Linked DNA regions of Neodiprion lecontei. The protein of the gene in region 2 interacts with the protein of the main gene of each other region in a pairwise test. Links are inferred from orthologs where the notes say so. Each region holds a gene or a part of one and is shown on either strand. Other genes may lie near its edges.

Region 1 (7,155 bases), on a different chromosome or scaffold from region 2:
AATTTGACACTCTCGTTGGTTTGTGTTGCAGAAAACTACGTCGCAGACAAAAAAACTTTGTGTCACCACGGCGATGACGATGATGATCTTTGCACGAGGCATTCGGGAGAATGGTAGGTAAATTATTTTAAACCGGATGAAACGAGTATAAAAAACACATTACTACAGTTGTCTTCTTAAATATGTACATAAGGATTTTTCGGTTCACTACGTTTTTCAGGTAGTACAGCATATATTGTGTATGACATACATGTTATTCACGTGCAGGTTACAGAGGATTGTCAAGAGTGAGGAGGAACTTCTTTTTGTATGAATGAAGCACGGCACGTGCACGTCTTTTTTATATTATTTTTTTTATCCACGGGTATTAAAATTTACGACACAGGACAGTAGAGGTACATATAGGCTTTCGTTTGGTACATTATACACAAAATTGTAGAGGATAGAGTGAAAGAACAAATTAAGGGGGCAGAAGAAGAGACCGGATGAAAGATTCCATAACTGGAATTTTATAGATGAAAAATGTTACTATTCGTACAATTACTTGATATAAACAATTTTGCTTCAAGTATTAAAAAGAAGTTTTACTCTATCATCGGTATTCACTCATATGTACCTACTACTGATCGATGTGATAAAAACGATCGAGTCGTTGCTTGTTTCGAACACGAACTAAACATGCAAACCTGATATTCTCTACAACCATAAAGAATTTAGTAAAAAGTGATCATAATATATGACCCCGAAAAACTTCATGCAAATACCTCTACATGCGTATAATTATATGCTTTTTTTCGACGAATTTTTTGGCTCTAGTGCTGTCTGAGATATGCTGTACTAGATTGATGTACCGTTGGATTCGTCGTCTCAGTGCAAAAATTTGATATGATTTTTCCCCAAAACTTCTTTTCATTCATTTACACACATTATCACGATGAGTATCGTTCAAGCATATCATCTTTCTCATTCATGAACGATGAAGGAAATGCAATGTTCATTGGCCACAACCAGTTTCTGCGAGGAGTTCTAAATGTCCGAAGAACGAAAAGAGCAGTATGAGGGGGAGGATATCGTCTTCGGTCACGAATCGTGCAGTATTTAATAAAAAAAGAAGGGCTCACCGGTGATCGTTGACTGTTTCCTCGCGGCGTGTGGCAGAACGGGAGTGGTCGGATCGTCGGGGGACTGTTTGAGCCTGACCTCGTCGAGTTCGCGTTCTTCATCGTGAGGACGAGTGGCGTCGGGAGTGGTTTCGTCGTCCGACCGATCGTCGATGTCTGGAACGCGGTGTTCCTGGGGCGGCGTCATCTCGGCGTTTCTCGCGATTAGGGGGGTGGTCGTGACGGTGGAAGGCTTGGCCTCGCTGTTGGCGAGGGTGGCCGCCTTGACCTTAGCCGGTTTTCGGGGTGTGCTGGGAGCGTGTTTCCGCAAGTAGGGCATGCCCCGGAGGGCGTAGGGCTCGGGGACGACCTCCGTCGGCGCGATGACCTCCCAGGTGTACCTCGTCGAGGACCGCGGCACCCCGGACTGGAAGTCGAAGCCCCATCGCTCCGCGTCCAGACGCGATTGGGCCTGCAATTCACGCTCGGCAAGGGCGCGGGCTGCCGCGTGATCGATGGGCCCGAAAAGGTCCCGTCGGATCGGAGCCAGCTCAGCCTTCGTCGGCACGACACGGCCGCGGCCCTGCTGCAAGCCGCCCGCCGAACTCCGGCCCATTTCCGTCATTAGCATCGGGTTCAAAACTCGCGCGCTCATATCTCTCGCCCCTTGGATGCCTCTTGTCGCCGCGGCGCGGCGCTCCGCGAGTCTCTTGGTCAGCACACGCGAGTCGCCCGTCTCGGTCCACCGCCTAGTCTCGTCTCGATTCCTAGCCGCGCTGGGCACCGACAGGCAAACACACAGGAACTTGCGACTCACCGACACACAGGCGCGATTCTCGCCCCGCGCGCGCAGTTACGACGACACACAACGATTATTACACGCCTCCTCTATTGCCGGACTCGGCCAGAAGGTGGGAGAGAGACGGACGAACTATCGTCGTTCAAAATGTCCGCCTCTTTTATCGCTGCACCGACCTCTTCTTATTCACTCAAATATCCATTTCCCAAGAGTTTCAACCCCGATTTAGACCGTTTTCGCAACGATTATAGTAGACGATGTTGTACGGGAACGTTTAGAATACTTTGGAGGCCGGTATCGGGATACTTTCTCTCACGTACTTAAGGATATCTGTTTCTCGTGTGGATTTTCACAGGCGCTGAATCGCGTTGCTGTGGGGCGCACGCCGAATCGAATCGGTATTCGGTACTAACCGCACGGTCAAAAGTCGAGACTCTGTGCTTTTGAAACACCACTTTCCACTACTTTGAACACAAATTCCACCACTTGAATGCTAGCGTGAAATCACACGGGACTATTTATCACACGGCCCGCGTAAACACGTACGCACTTGACACCGATGCGCAAATACACTCGAAGTTTCCAAACGAGCTCCGTACACACGTACGCATATACACACGCACACAGTGCGAACCGAGTTGGAATGGACGAAAAAGAAAAATGCGCGGGCTTCCTCGACTTCGTTCACTTTTTGATCGGTTTGTGGAAAGATTACTGAACAGTACTCCGACGATTATTCCTAGGCTTATATCGCGCACTTCTCTTCTGTTACACTTTATCTCGGCACGTAAGAAAATTCCGATTCACGAAACGACGTCGACCACGGTGATGATGATCAAACTCTCTTCGATGCTTCTCTTTCTCGCGTGGTAGGAACCTCGAGGACTTGACGCGCCCGCGCAGTTAAGTGACCAGCTCACGGTTTAACTTCCGCTTCTGTATGCGTGCTCGTATATACACAGGCGGGTTTTTGTGTGTCTCTGGAAGCAGCGAGCGAGCGAGCAAGTCAACGCTGTCGACGACGAGAGAGAGCGCGGGTTGTGGAGAATATTGAAAATCTGGCAACGTTGCGGTCGGTGCGCGAGGCCTGAGGAACTTCTGAGCGCGGAGCTCGCAACAAACCTTAAACTACACCAACACAACCAACCAGCGACTTGAGGACTGTGGTGGAGAGACGGGCATCCGTGGAAGTTGTCGAGAAATAAGGACGGCGAGATATGCCAGAATGAGATTTTTATACTTTTTTTTTTTTTGCAACGCGTGTGACGTTTTTTTCTTTGACTTTATTCTTCTCGTGTTTTCTTACTTCACGACGTTATACTCAGGTTGTAATTATCAATGGTTGAATTATCATTACTGTTATTAATATTCTTCCGACGACAAAACTACTCCGTTATCATCGGCACCTTGGTGGTTGTGTTTTAAGTAGTATTTTAAAAAAGAGATTTCATTCAATAATCTCCTCCACTTTTTTGAGACAAGAAAATAATCTTAGCAGCAATAAAAAAAAAATTCTTTTCTCAAATCTACACGTGTAACAGACACTGTATACAGGTAATCATTGAACATCTCCTCGTGGGTGTTGCATGTATTCACTTAAGCCACACGATGTGGCAATACGTATAAGTCTGCATGGATATGCGTACACCACCCGTGTGCATATCACACTTCCCGCCAATAACAAAAATGACAGTTGCAGCAGTGGCAAGGCAGAACTCCACTACCACTGCGCGTTATCGCGTTCTATGTATAGATGTACAGGAATTCTTGCGTGTACGAGAAAATCGCGTTATTTTAATTTTTTTTCCTTATATCGTGAAATCTGGGATTAAAATCGCGCCGAGGTTGGTTTCCTGGTCGAGAATCAACGAAATGATCGACAACCGAACGCGGGACTTTCAACTAAAACTCTCCTTCTTTCTTCCTTTCTATTTCTCTCTTTCTCTCGAAGCTTTGTTTGCTTTTTTTTTTCTTTTTTTATTTCAAAACACTGCGCGCGCGCCTCCGTCGCGATCCTGACCGGGCGGTTGTGGAACGCCGTTTGAACGCGTAGAGTTTTTGATTCAGCGTCACACGGCAACTCCACACTCTCCCGATCCCGTCGGGGAGGGGCAAACCGGGTGTCACAGGGAAGGGGAGAGCCAATTGCGCCTCCGTCCCGCCCTCTCCACCCCAATTCTCGCCACGCACCCTCAATCTCTCTTTATCTTTCTCTCTCTCTCTCTGCTCTCTCTTTGTCTCCTGCTCGAACTCCCAATTTATCTGTCTCTCTTATTTCTTGGCCGTCGGTGGCGCCATCAGCCGGGTTTTTCTGCGCCAAAAATTCAACCGCACATTTTCTCGTCTAGGTTAACGTACGCGTCCCTTGGCCTGGCAACGCGTTGGCAGAGGTCGATCATTATCCATGTGATGCACGAAGTCGTCGACGGCGGTTTTTCCTAATTCCTCAATCGTCTGAAGGACTGCGGGCGGGACTCGCGGCCCCTCCATCGTTCTGCCGCATCTTTTCCACCCCCACCATCGCGCTTTTTGGTCAGACGTGGTGGGGCTTCGCGATATTAACCTGTAACCGTTGACCATGCGCACGCAGATCGAATGGGCATGATACGAGTTTCGTATGCGTGTATGCGTGTACGCATTTGTTACACACGCGTTTTCGTATATCACAACGCGACGCTGTACGGCGTGCACGTATCTCATCCTGTACATATAGGTATGTATAAATGTACGTACGCAGAAGCGTATATACGTGCGTGTACACTTTGCACTGCGAGAGTGCAGCTTGATAGCGGTAATTGAGGCGGAGAGATCGCGAACAGAAGAGCGGGATATTTGAATCAGGCTCGATAATTGCGGAAAGGATTGAAATTCTTCTATTTCTTATGTACAGCTTTTTGAGAATATTGTGTACGATTCAAGTCCCGATACAAAATTAAGGAAAAAATATCGTGAAAATAAGACAGAGTTGAATCGTTCATTTCACTCCAAGATTCCGATTCATTATGTATACAAGATTCACATATGTTCATATTGTAATACGTAAACCAAGATTGATGAGACATTTACGACGATCGGAATTCCCGTACCTCCTTTCGAATGTTGTAAACTGTATTAACCGTATTACATGTATGTAAAATAGATACAAGTTCTATCCGATAGATATAATTTTGATCGTTCGATGTGTAAAGCTTGAGTCCAAGATTTTCGGCGAAGAATAAAAAACAAATACGTATCGACGTGTATAGGGTTTTAAGGAGAAAAAATAGACGATTTTTTAACGGTTTTGGAGACCTCTTTAACCTATGCGACGCTCGGCAGAAAATCTCGCGATTCCAATCGCTGATTATATAGGTAACTTTGTTTGTGTATAATTTTATTAGGCAGCTGCTGCGACCCGCGATGTTAGAGAAATAGAAAAACAGATTATAAGGAAAGATCGCTGCCGTCAAACACCGGGTGTGTGCGTTAAATTCGAGATGAAATCGCAATCTGAGAATTGCGGGGGCTAAGTTTTGTTTTATTCATGCCTACCCGTCTATGTACAATCATATACCTATGTATAATATACATACTCAAAGTTTTCGGTTCGTTGATACTTGGTACATAAATAATATTACATAACATGGCTTCCAGTTTGCTGTATTTACATAACATGCAAGAATTTTGCCGCACATTTTGTTTGGTTTATAATTTTTTACATATGAGTAATTCAGCGTTAATTTGCTGTATTGAATTTTGCAGATACCTAATGTACATGCCGAAATGTAAATATGCGAAGACATTTCTCTTTTTGGAAAAGTCATTACAGAAATTTGCGAATCAAAGAAAAAATACCAATATCATTACGAAAATTGTTGTGAAAGTTTTTACTCCGCCAATGTCTTCACATCTTGCATTATATTTTGGTTCCTTCACTATCCACCTTTTTCAAAACCGCGTGTGCCGTGAATATAATTTTATTAACTGTGCGTAACCTCGTGACGATTCGGCGTAACACGGTATGTGTACACCCATATTTATACAATCACGCACAGGTTACATACGTGTAATATTTATCGTTTTGAAGAGGTACAAATATATATTTAAAAAAAATCGTGACTGAAATAACGCTCGCGTAATTTTCAATAATATCGGAACATTCCCCGGCAAGAATTTACGGTCTAACGTGTTCTGCGAATACTCCCTTTTCATTCATCAGCCTCGATTCGCGTTCGTTTCAAGGTCGCCTCGTTTCATTCCTAACGCGACTCTCGACGTAAACAAGTATCAGTGACGGAACGAGTGCCTTCTGCCGCGCAGCGCTGTCGTGTCGTCGTCTTTAACCTCGCGAGAGTCCAACGTAAGTTCTCTAATTATCTATTGCCAGCTCCAACAGCTCCAATCGACGATTCCCGCCTCGCCTTGCCCGCCTCGCTGCTACGCAACGAGATCCGATGGCGATGGCTGCGCTGCGATCGATGCGCCACCGCGCGGCATCGACGTTTAGTTCGAGTCGCGGCCGCCGTCGGCGCCTCTGTCGCCTCGCTTTTTGAGGCGCGAAGCGTTCGAACACCGTTATCGATACTGCGCCACGAGGCGAGGGAGAAGGAGAGAGAGAAAGATGGAGAATGGAAACTGATGAGCGCAATTATGACGGAATTAATGTGTTGTAAAACTTGTTTAATACTGAAACATGCCTGTCACAAATTGCACGAAACATTCAAACTACTATAATTAACGATATCTATCGGCTAATGAAAGACGGTAGAATACAAATTTTAATTTAGAATAACTTGGCGGTAAGAAAAGTCGTATAATTTACAAGTTGAACATGCGGGGGTTTGTTTTCTATTTTTTTACATTACCTACAACGTGATTTTCGTGGGAAACTTTGTAAAACTGCGGTAGATGGGGATACAATTATGCGTTATATTATGTCTTTTCTTCTCTTCCTCTGCACTGCTCTTCCTCATCAGGAATAAAAACTGATTATTTCCCTTACAATTGAATTGATCGATGAAGACGTATATACCTGTAATATTCTATTATTAAAGGTATGTACAATAAGCAATACATTAACGCCTGTGATACGTACGATATTGATTCGATGTCGTGTCACAATGAATTGATGCATCGATCGGTCGCACAGGTATCCAGTATACCTATTAAATTGCATTCTAGAGAGAGATAAAGCGAGAAAGAGAGAGAATGAGTTGAGAAGCGACTATATATATATGGGTCATTCCACCAATTATTGAGTGAAGTTGTGCCGGGGGG
Region 2 (9,962 bases):
GCGACATGTGTAGCCAAACATTTAACAGACCATCTGATTGGGTTCGACACATAGAATTTACCCATGCCGATATGACGGAAAATAGAAGAAGAAAACGAAAGGTAACTCCATTTCATTTGCATTGAATCCTTATATGCCACTTGTTTGACAATGAGAAATGGCTGCATGTAGAATTACACATTTCTTTGAAGACCGTGTCTTACCATGCAACTAGTCCCCAATCACTCATGAAATATTTCTTCAAATGCAGGGTGACACCGATGACGATAGTAAAGATTTTCCACCTCTAAAATGTGACCTATGTGGTAACATGTATCCTACTCCTCAAGAATGGGTGCGACACATACAAACAGAACATACCGAAGAACAACTCGCGCTCATGAATAATTCAGCGCCTCCAAAACCAAAAAGAGTTCACAGCCATCAAAAATTATGTAACATCTGCCAAAAAGTATTTCCCAGCCATGCATCAATGGTTATTCATCAGAGAACACACACTGGTGAAAAGCCGTTTCTATGTTCATACTGCAAGAAAGGTTTTAATGTTAAAAGTAATTTACTAAGACATCTGCGAACGCTTCATGATAAGTTTGTACACCCTAGCTTATATGGCAGTAATGGTAATAAGAATACTTAAGTTGTTTTCCTTTTTTTTCTTTGCTTTTGCATACCATCATGTGGCTAGGCTTTGTAACGCTGCTGTCAGTTATGAATAGCAGAGCCACTGAAATACATTCATTGCTGAATGTCGACCCGGGTGAGAGAGGACCCCTGATGCGAGTGCCAGGTAGAACTGCGGCGGTAGTGGTCCTCAAGTTCAGCAATAAATGAATGACCCTATACGTATGCAAAACTACAAGATCCAATTTTATGAGACGTGTCAAAAACGAAAGATAGAAATAATCATAGCATTCGTCGGTCATACGGAATGTTCCATTTTCTATTTAAAATTTACTCGTCTAAAATGTGCATGACGATTGAGTAGACTTGTCAAACTTACATAATATCATGCATACACCTGTTACTCCAAGTTATAGAAACAAAGTTTCCACTTGCAGTTTTGACATTTGCCAAGTCCTGTGTAACTTGCATCTATAAAAACGTCTCTACAGTGAATCAAATATTAGGTATAAGATGGATATATAAATATAGTTAAAGTAAAAATCCACTACAAAAAAGCAAAACTAAAATCGGAAAAAAAAAAAAATATTAACATGTAGTTGCAAAATAGTAGACGACAAAGCAATACCAGGGCTTTTTAACCAAAGAGGCTGACAAATATTGCCAAAGTATTACATTTTGTTGCTATTTCGATTTTTGCAAAAATTATTGTAAAAGAATTTACTGAAGTAAAGGGTAATAATAAAAATAATAATAATAATAGTAATAATAATTAATGAATGTACGAGAAATAATGAGTGAACTATTATCTTATAAACATCTTGACCTGAGTAATTGAGTGTATAATATTTCTAGCCATTATTTACCTTCTAATGATCGATATTTAACTACTAAATACTAATTCAAGATCCAAATGACTTAAGATTTAATTATATACTTCTAGGCAATTCGTAAGCTAATTATGTATTTTTATATTACCGTAGCTTGGATAGATTTACGAATTAAGAAATATATTAATTAAATTTTAAACTTCAATTAGGCTAGGTTATGGAATTAAGAGTCACAAAATGTATCAAAAATTTCGGAAATATATTTGGTTCTCCTCTTATGCTACAAACGCAATACTTTCGAAACAAGCACGGCTTATGACAGAAGCTGTTCAATGTACATTGCAAAGTAACTCAACGTTAAATTAATCCATGTGATCACGCTATTCTATTGCAGATTTTAGAGCCAACTCCTCATCACATTAACATTGTGGCCAGCCAAATAATTTTAACTGTACATTTTGCTAATAAATTACCTTCGAAATATCAGTCAGCTTGATTAACTCATTTCGTTGAGAAGTACTTCATATTGTCATCTAGTATTGGTTATAGATATTAGTTACAGAATGTATAAAAGTTGGAAATCGCTCTATGACGATGAAAAATAAGGAATTTATTAAAATATCCAGTGACTAATTCTTCGACTGCTCACATGGATCATTTCTCCAACATCAAGGCACAATGATAGGGTTCATCTCAGAACACACCATGTTTTGCAGTGTTCCAGTTTTGTACAGTAACAAAAATGAGCGGTATAACAACACGAATACCAGATCCTGTCCTTAGTTGTCTTCGTCTTCGATTTTAGGTGCCAAATAATATCTGATGTGTCCAAGTTCCCCAATTTTGTATTCAACAACCAGCGGGACATCGGCAGACATTGAAAGTTGAACTTGAGCAGAAAGGGGTGTTGCTTTTGTAAAACTGTTCAAATACCGGCAAGCAAACGTTAATGATACTGGCTCCTGCATTTCTATGACCACAGCTTCCTCTTCAGCGTCCACATTTGCAGTTTGAGCTAATTTGATGTTGGCTGAAATAATAAAACAAATACCACTAGAAGTAGAGAAACCACTGCCTCGACTATTACATTCATACTATCATAGCTACATGCTTGTGATAACCTGACTTATGTGCATTGACATTGAGATTTTGATTCATTAACAATACAACATAAGAGCAAAATCGTTTGGCTGAATTCAACTGATAATAAACTGACGATTTCAAAATTGTAGAGATGTCACTATATTAACACTTTGCCGTCCGCACGATTCGTAAATATTTATTCGCCTGGCGCCGGCAGCGCTTATTCGGATCACTTGACTTGTCACCGGCCGTTCTTGACATTATCGGGAGATTATAAATTGTTAAGTTTTACTAATTTCGTCGTTAGTTCTCATTTTCAATGTCTTCCCAATCGGCCAAGTCATCCGGAACGTCAGACAAATCGTCCGCGCATTCGTCGTAAATATTTGCATCGTCTCTTTCGTCTGCCATTATGAAAGGGCACAAGAACTTATACAAATAAAAAGTTTGATCACTTGTGTAACTTATTGTTACCGAAACAAAATACCAGCAGAAAGCTAAATACACTAAAGTGTCGTCACCGACCCAGAGCGGTACTGTGCTCACAACACCACTGTGGTGTCGCCGGTCGTTGGCCACCAGTTTGCGCACGTCACCACTGTGCTGTCGCCGGATGGCAAAGTGTTAAATATGTCGGCGATTAATCTCCCTGGTAGTGAAAGGAAGCAACAAAGGTCAATAGATAGTTGAAAAATAAAGCATGGTAAATCTTGTGCTTTGTCAAATATGATCGACAAAATTTAAGTTCTTAGATGTTGCACAAATTTTTTTTATCATTTAATTGAGGTATTATTATCATGAATGTATTTATCTAAATTTACAGTGTAATGATAGTTCATTTGTATACCTGAACCAATATCACCAGCTGAACTAAACTTCACACCTTCCTTGGTACAAGAAATAGCCATGGATTCACCAAACTGGCTCAGATCTCTGCATATACGTGCAAATTCTTGGGAAGGCATTTTAACGATACAAGAATAGTCAGTTTCCTGAAGAAAAAAAATATGATTGTTGATACACTCTGCACCTATCTTCACCTACACATTATCACTAATAACAATACTCAAGGATCAAGGATTATAGTCTTTCCCTAATTCTGTGCAAAATAGGTTTTCTTATAATTGAGATAGCTCACATTGTATTTATTAATGTACCGAGCATTTTACAGTTTCAGAATTCAACTGTTTATGTTACACATGAATTTCAAAAAACTCAAAACGGTTTGGACACAAACATTTGTTTCGTTGCTTGAATCAAATATGTCAAAAATGGACCAAATAGTTTTGCATTGAGAAGTTTGGGTCTTCTTTCGCTGAATTGATAAAACATGAATGAATCTTTCCAACAAAAATATTGCAGAATTCGTATTCCTAATCAGTTATTACTACTTCAAGAACAGGAACTTACTGGAATACCAAGATGTTCCTGATCTAGATTCATAAGTTTCATTTCATAATCTGAAACTTTTTCCTGATTTTTGGATTCAAACATAAATGCAACCACATCAGCATTATCCTGAGCTTTCATCGTAACAGTATCTTCTGCTCCAGCACATTTCATAATTTTTGTCATGCTGAAAATTATAATATTTTGGGTTCAAATCATTGAATTAGTACGACTCGATATGTAACAGGGACGACATGTTGTAAAACAGTGATTCATAATGTTTAGTAACAAAACTGATATTCACGTTGATCAGCTATCAAGTATTAATAAGATGACGATTCAAGACAAAGGGCAAATAAGGTGTGAACGAAATTTGCATTCACTCATGAGTTATCATCATTACTGTTACCCAAAAAATACAAGCAAGTGACGCACAAACGATATTATATTGCCAGTGTTGTCATTTTTCTTGTTAATATACGATGTAATTGCTAAGAATTGCAGATTACTCTTTTCAAGGCTGAGAACAAAGCAGCCGCGTTTAAAATTTTAGTATCGGCACTGTGTGTATAACCTCTCAAAAGAACGGGCGACCAGTTTGATGAAGCAACTTACTTGCCCAGATTCATGCCCATCGATAAATTTCTGTCGCATCTATATTTGTCGAAGCCATCGCTTCGCAGATTCAAAGACACCAAAGAAACGTGAGCATTGTCCATAGCCTGCAACTGAATTCCCGAATCGGAACAGTCGAAGGTGGCTTCGGTTAGGAGGTCCTTTATCGCCTCCAAAACCTTCTTCAATATCGCACTCTGAACCAAACGTGCCTCGAACATTTTTAGCTCCTCTTCGATCAACTTTGAAACTATTAAAAACGAATGTACTTGGTGAAAAGACCCGCAACACAGTCTACAGTAAAGTTACAACCCACAACAAGCCGGCAAGACAGACATTAAACACCGGGACTGGGGAGCAAGATTTTACCCGCGTTTTGTTGGCGCCGAAATCTCTCGAGAGGATGTAGAGGCCCTTACCAGTCTTCTTTATCTACAAGCGCGCCATTATACGAATTCAGTTGAACAAATCCAAAAGCTGAAAGCGTTTGCGGCTCTGTACGCTGACCCCCCCAACACAAGATTGTTCAGAAATTTATTATCGAGTGGCTAAGATTATAATTACTCATACCTGTCCACTTTATTATACATTTATGGCAGTGTCCGTGTTGATTGTTAGGAACTTCGAGTTTGAGAATATGTGTTCCCGACAAAGTCAATACTGTTTTATTCGGAATTTCAGCACTTTTTCGGTAACCCCTAATAATAATATTACCCAGAGGATACAATTGTGTAATGATACTATATATCGGATATCAGAAGCTAAATACTGATATTACCTAAAGATGGATTTTCTGGATTCTTTATAATCAAATTCTCATCAATTATCTACGATATCTTTGTTAAAAAAATACAGATTAAAGGTTGTAAGACCTTCCGAAAGTTTTAAGTATTCTGCTTCCAACAATCCACTAGTCTTTTCTGAGACAAGATTCTGTTCTACCGAAGAATTTCTACAGATTTCCGCAAACAGAATTTATAAATTTTGCAGACTTAGGTAGAAGAATTTTACAAATTGTATAAGAGACATTGTTAGACCGTTAATGATTTACATTATACATGTTAAAATTACAAGGAACTTGTCAGTAATTCATGTAATTGCTTCATAATTATCCAAGAAATATGCATCGTTGATGAGTTATTGGAACAGCATTGGTTTCCGGTGGTGGGCTGATTGTCCGTTTTGGAGAAATATACATAGGTCCATTAAATTCCAAGCGATACTCTTCCTGCGAAGATCGCTATTCAACAATGCGTGTACTGGTCGTTGGAATTGGTGACGAGGCAGCCAACGTATGCGTAAAACGTTTAGTTATTGACGCATCATTTTTTTTTTTTTTTGCGTTTTACGAATGCATCTTCTGGATGGAAGTCCGGCCTTCGCAACTTTCACGGCGTATTTGCAATTTATAAGATGAATATTTATAGCATACGCGTATTACGTATTATCTTACTTAGTACGACCTTTTGTACACACTATTTTATTCACAATTATGTTGTAAGTAACAATAATCACCCGTTGAAAATTTTTCCCACTCAAATAGTCATATTTTTTAATTCAACTGATCTGTGATTTGCGTTCTTAACGGATCACTTCATTCTTGTCGAAGGTCATAAATTTATATCTATAATTTGACAAAGCATTTCTTTTGTGACTTTTGATTGGTTCTAAAATCAATTGGTAATATTTTAAAATGCAGGTTATCATATTAGTTGCCTTTCTTTTTATGTATGTAAGTGTAATGATTTTTTGAACAAAGTATTTAACAGTTGATTCAGTTAAGTTATATAAAAATCAAGCGGGTATACAAATTTGTCATCAAAATTTTTAAATAATTTTCAAGAATATAGATTCAAAAGAGAAGACGGGAGTAAATTTCTTACTGTGCTAGACGGATCACCCGTATCTCGAACGTACAAAATTTGAACATCGTTCTTGTTGTCATTTTTAGTGACCGGTTTTGAATGAGCTTCAATATTTTGTTCTTTATCGTTTGTTATGGGAGACGTGCTCATTTGGTATGCAATTATAGTGTTTTATGTCAACAACCTGTGTCGACTGCGAAAGGTCAAGCCGGGGAGAAAGATGTCGGAATTGCCAAAGGTATGTGCACTTTGTTGACTTTAATTAAGAAACGAAATTTATCAAAAAGAAAAATATATTTACGTGGAATTCACTCTCACTAAACTAGCGAAATCCGAAGGTATTACAATTCCACATGCGTTACACATAACCGAAGCACGAATCTTATTGACAATAAGCTAAATTTATACAAGAATAAAATTGTCATTTGAAAAACTACAATATGTTAGTATTTGACAAATGAAAATAAGTTCGCTTATGCTCGTTTCCACACCACCGCAAGCGGTAGAGCACCCGGCGCGTTTTTTTTTTACGTGGTATCCCCAGTAGGCCTACTCCACGGAGAATACTTGCAAGATCGATCTTACATTCTTCGAAAAATTGCAAATATCTTTTTTTCACATGTTAACTACGGTAAATTGTTTTTCCCAATCAATTTGTATTCGCGGATATTCGGAGTTTGTTCGAAATTTTTCAGTTAATATGACCAGCTGACTATTTATTATCGATCGAAGATGACTGTTTTAATTGTAGATGAAAGTTGGCTGTTTTAATTATAGATGAAGGGTGATAGTTTTTATCTTGTAAGCGAACGGTGATTGTATTTGGATGTTCGGGCACGGTTTTTTTTCTTATGATGTATAAGATAATCACTAAAATGGAGAACTTGGTGAATACGCAAAACAATTCACAACTAAACCAAGATCGAAAATACGAATCGCCGTAAGACGCTGGCATTTACCTATCGGAAGACTAAGCAGAAATCTTTGAAGAAATGGAAACAAATCGGAGTAGGATAAACACAACCACCAAAATACGACAGTGCTATATAATTATACAGTGAAATACAAACCGAACATGACCTATGGGCGACTCGAGAAAAAAAACTATGACACTAAAACGAGCGCAATAAAAGACTGTAAAACCATTAAAAAATAAACTATATACATCGCTAAATCTATGTATCGGTGAAAAGATGACTGACCTTGAACCAGACCTAAACAGTCAATTAACCTCACTTACGTGGAACAGATGAAAATAAAATTAGTGACATATTTCGATATAAACAGAAATATACTTAGCTTAGATAAGTGAAAAATATAATTAACGAATAAGAGACAAATTGATTAGTTAAAACAGTCAAAATATTTGATTAGCTGAAACAGACAAAAGGTTTGATTAACTGAAACGGACAAAAAGCTTAATTAGCCGAAAGAGACAGAAAGTATGATTATCTGAAACAGACAAAAGGTTTCATTAGCTGAAACAGGCAAGAGGTTTGTTTAGCTGAAACAGATAAAACGTTTGATTAGCTGAAAGAGACAGAAAGTTTAATTAGCTGAAACATACAAAAGGTTCGATTAGCTGAAACAAGCAAAAGGTTTGATTAACTGAAACGGACAAAAAGCTTAATTAGCCGAAAGAGACAGAAAGTATAATTATCTGAAACAGACAAAAGGTTTGATTAGCTGAAACAGGCAAGAGGTTTGATTAGCTGAAACAGATAAAACGTTTGATTAGCTGAAAGAGACAGAAAGTTTAATTAGCTGAAACATACAAAAGATTCGATTAGCTGAAACAAGCAAAAGGTTTAATTAACTTGTGAATTAGACAAAAAGTTCGATTGGCTGAAAGAGACAAAGTCTGATTACCTGAAATAGACAAAACGTTTGATTAGCTGAAATAGACAAAAAGTTTGGTTAGCTGAAACAAACAAAAAATTTGATTGGCTAAAACGGATAAAAAGCTTGATCGGCTGAAAGAGACAGAAAATTTGATTAGCTGAATGATTATCTGAAACAGACAGAAGGTTTGATTATTTGAAACAGATAAAAGGTTTGATTATCTGAAACAGACAAAAGATTCAATTACCTGAAACAGACAAAAAGTTTGATTAGCTGAAGAGGACAGAAAGTCTGATTACCTGAAACAAACAAAGATTTCGTTAGCTGAAACAGACGAAGGTGTGGTTAGCACAATCACATAAGTTCATCCACTGACCAAAAATGGGTCGAGTCCAACATAATATTCGCTTTAATATTCATTCTATTGATGTATCAAAAACATTCTAAACTTTTTGAATCGACATTACTTTCTGCGCAAAGTTTTGTTGCCCTGAAATAGAAAATAATACGATCAGTGAAACGACTATTTCTGTACATTTCAGATATATTTCATAAATACTTACGCCAAAATTCTACACTATCAGTATATACTACCGAGATTTTTGTTCCTGCGCGTTGAGCGCCGGCTTTCGAATGCCGCGCTTTCTCGTATAAGTAAGAAGTATCAAGTCCACGCGCAAAAGGCGGCGTGGAACTTGAAAACCTTAAAATTCGTCAAAAAATTGACCCATGAGCTGAAAGATCAGCACATCTCGAGTGCGTAACTCTTTTATATACTGTTTGCAAAATCGACGCGTAAAAAAACGTGTCCGATTCCCGTTAGTAATTTACGCGCAAAAGGCTGCGTCCAATTTTCTTGATTATTCTACGCGCAATAAGGCGCGACAGAATAAACTGTCAAAAAATTTGTATTACCTGGGACTTGCCCCGAAAAATTCTGTAGAAACCCAATCCGCATCTGCATCTTTTCGAATTAGATACATTGCTATGCGGATTGTTCTTCTCAGATTACAAATCGAAATTGGGAGGGAGGTTGGAGGAGGGCATGCATTATTGTGTGGCGTGACGGTCGGCGGTCCTCTTCGACGCGAAGTCTTCGAGCTCAGCATCTCTCCCCATCTAGCGTACCACGGAACGCGATAGATGGTCCAGAGATGCGTTTTGCCCATTCAGACGATCACAGAGTTCAATTGAACGGAATAATGATCGGTAATGACTAAATAATTGAATTGAACAACGATTGAAAAATGGTTGCAGAGTGACAAGAAATAGTAAATTAATTCTCGTTAATATTCAAATGCTTACAAATGGTCGAGAGACTCGAATACGGAGTCTTTTGGGAAAAGAATTTCTGTGATCGTTTGACGCTGTGGATTACAAAAGTTAGTGACATCACGGTACATCGCGACCTTCCTACCCTTGCCTGTTACCCAACGCAACCGCCCAACGGAAAAGAAAGACTCACACACGCATGCATAACCTTGCGACGGATCCCAGAACGTCCACCTACCTACCCGGTTACCTATATTCGATCTAAACGATTCTCCATTTTTTCCAACACACATCATTCTTCTTCATTTGCGCCGTGGTCACTGACTTACATTTTCGTTGGTTACCTGTTGGGAGCAACATGTTTTTGTATCATAGTCTGCCTATTCAGCATACAGTATAGCGGTTGTATCCCGCCAACCCTAATATTGTATGTATTATTTTAGTA

What was found.
Region 1: the proteins of proliferating cell nuclear antigen (region 2) and uncharacterized protein LOC107216851 interact in a two-hybrid assay, tested with the Drosophila melanogaster proteins (2 studies listed by BioGRID). The link is inferred for Neodiprion lecontei from reciprocal best matches to the Drosophila melanogaster genes PCNA and dap.

What each region holds. Positions count from the first base shown.
Region 1 is NC_060263.1:20,994,084-21,001,238, forward strand, and holds the start of uncharacterized protein LOC107216851, read right to left. Parts: upstream 3,943-7,155; 5' UTR 1,756-3,942; coding exon 1,122-1,755; intron 1-1,121.
Region 2 is NC_060260.1:30,415,265-30,425,226, reverse strand, and holds proliferating cell nuclear antigen, read right to left. Parts: upstream 6,904-9,962; 5' UTR 4,760-6,903; coding exon 4,539-4,759; intron 4,111-4,538; coding exon 3,945-4,110; intron 3,527-3,944; coding exon 3,382-3,526; intron 2,482-3,381; coding exon 2,231-2,481; 3' UTR 1,690-2,230; downstream 1-1,689. Other genes in the region: zinc finger protein 37 homolog, read left to right, coding at 1-101, 251-637. UniProt on the Drosophila melanogaster protein: Likely to be an auxiliary protein of DNA polymerase delta complex and is probably involved in the control of DNA replication and repair by increasing the polymerase's processibility.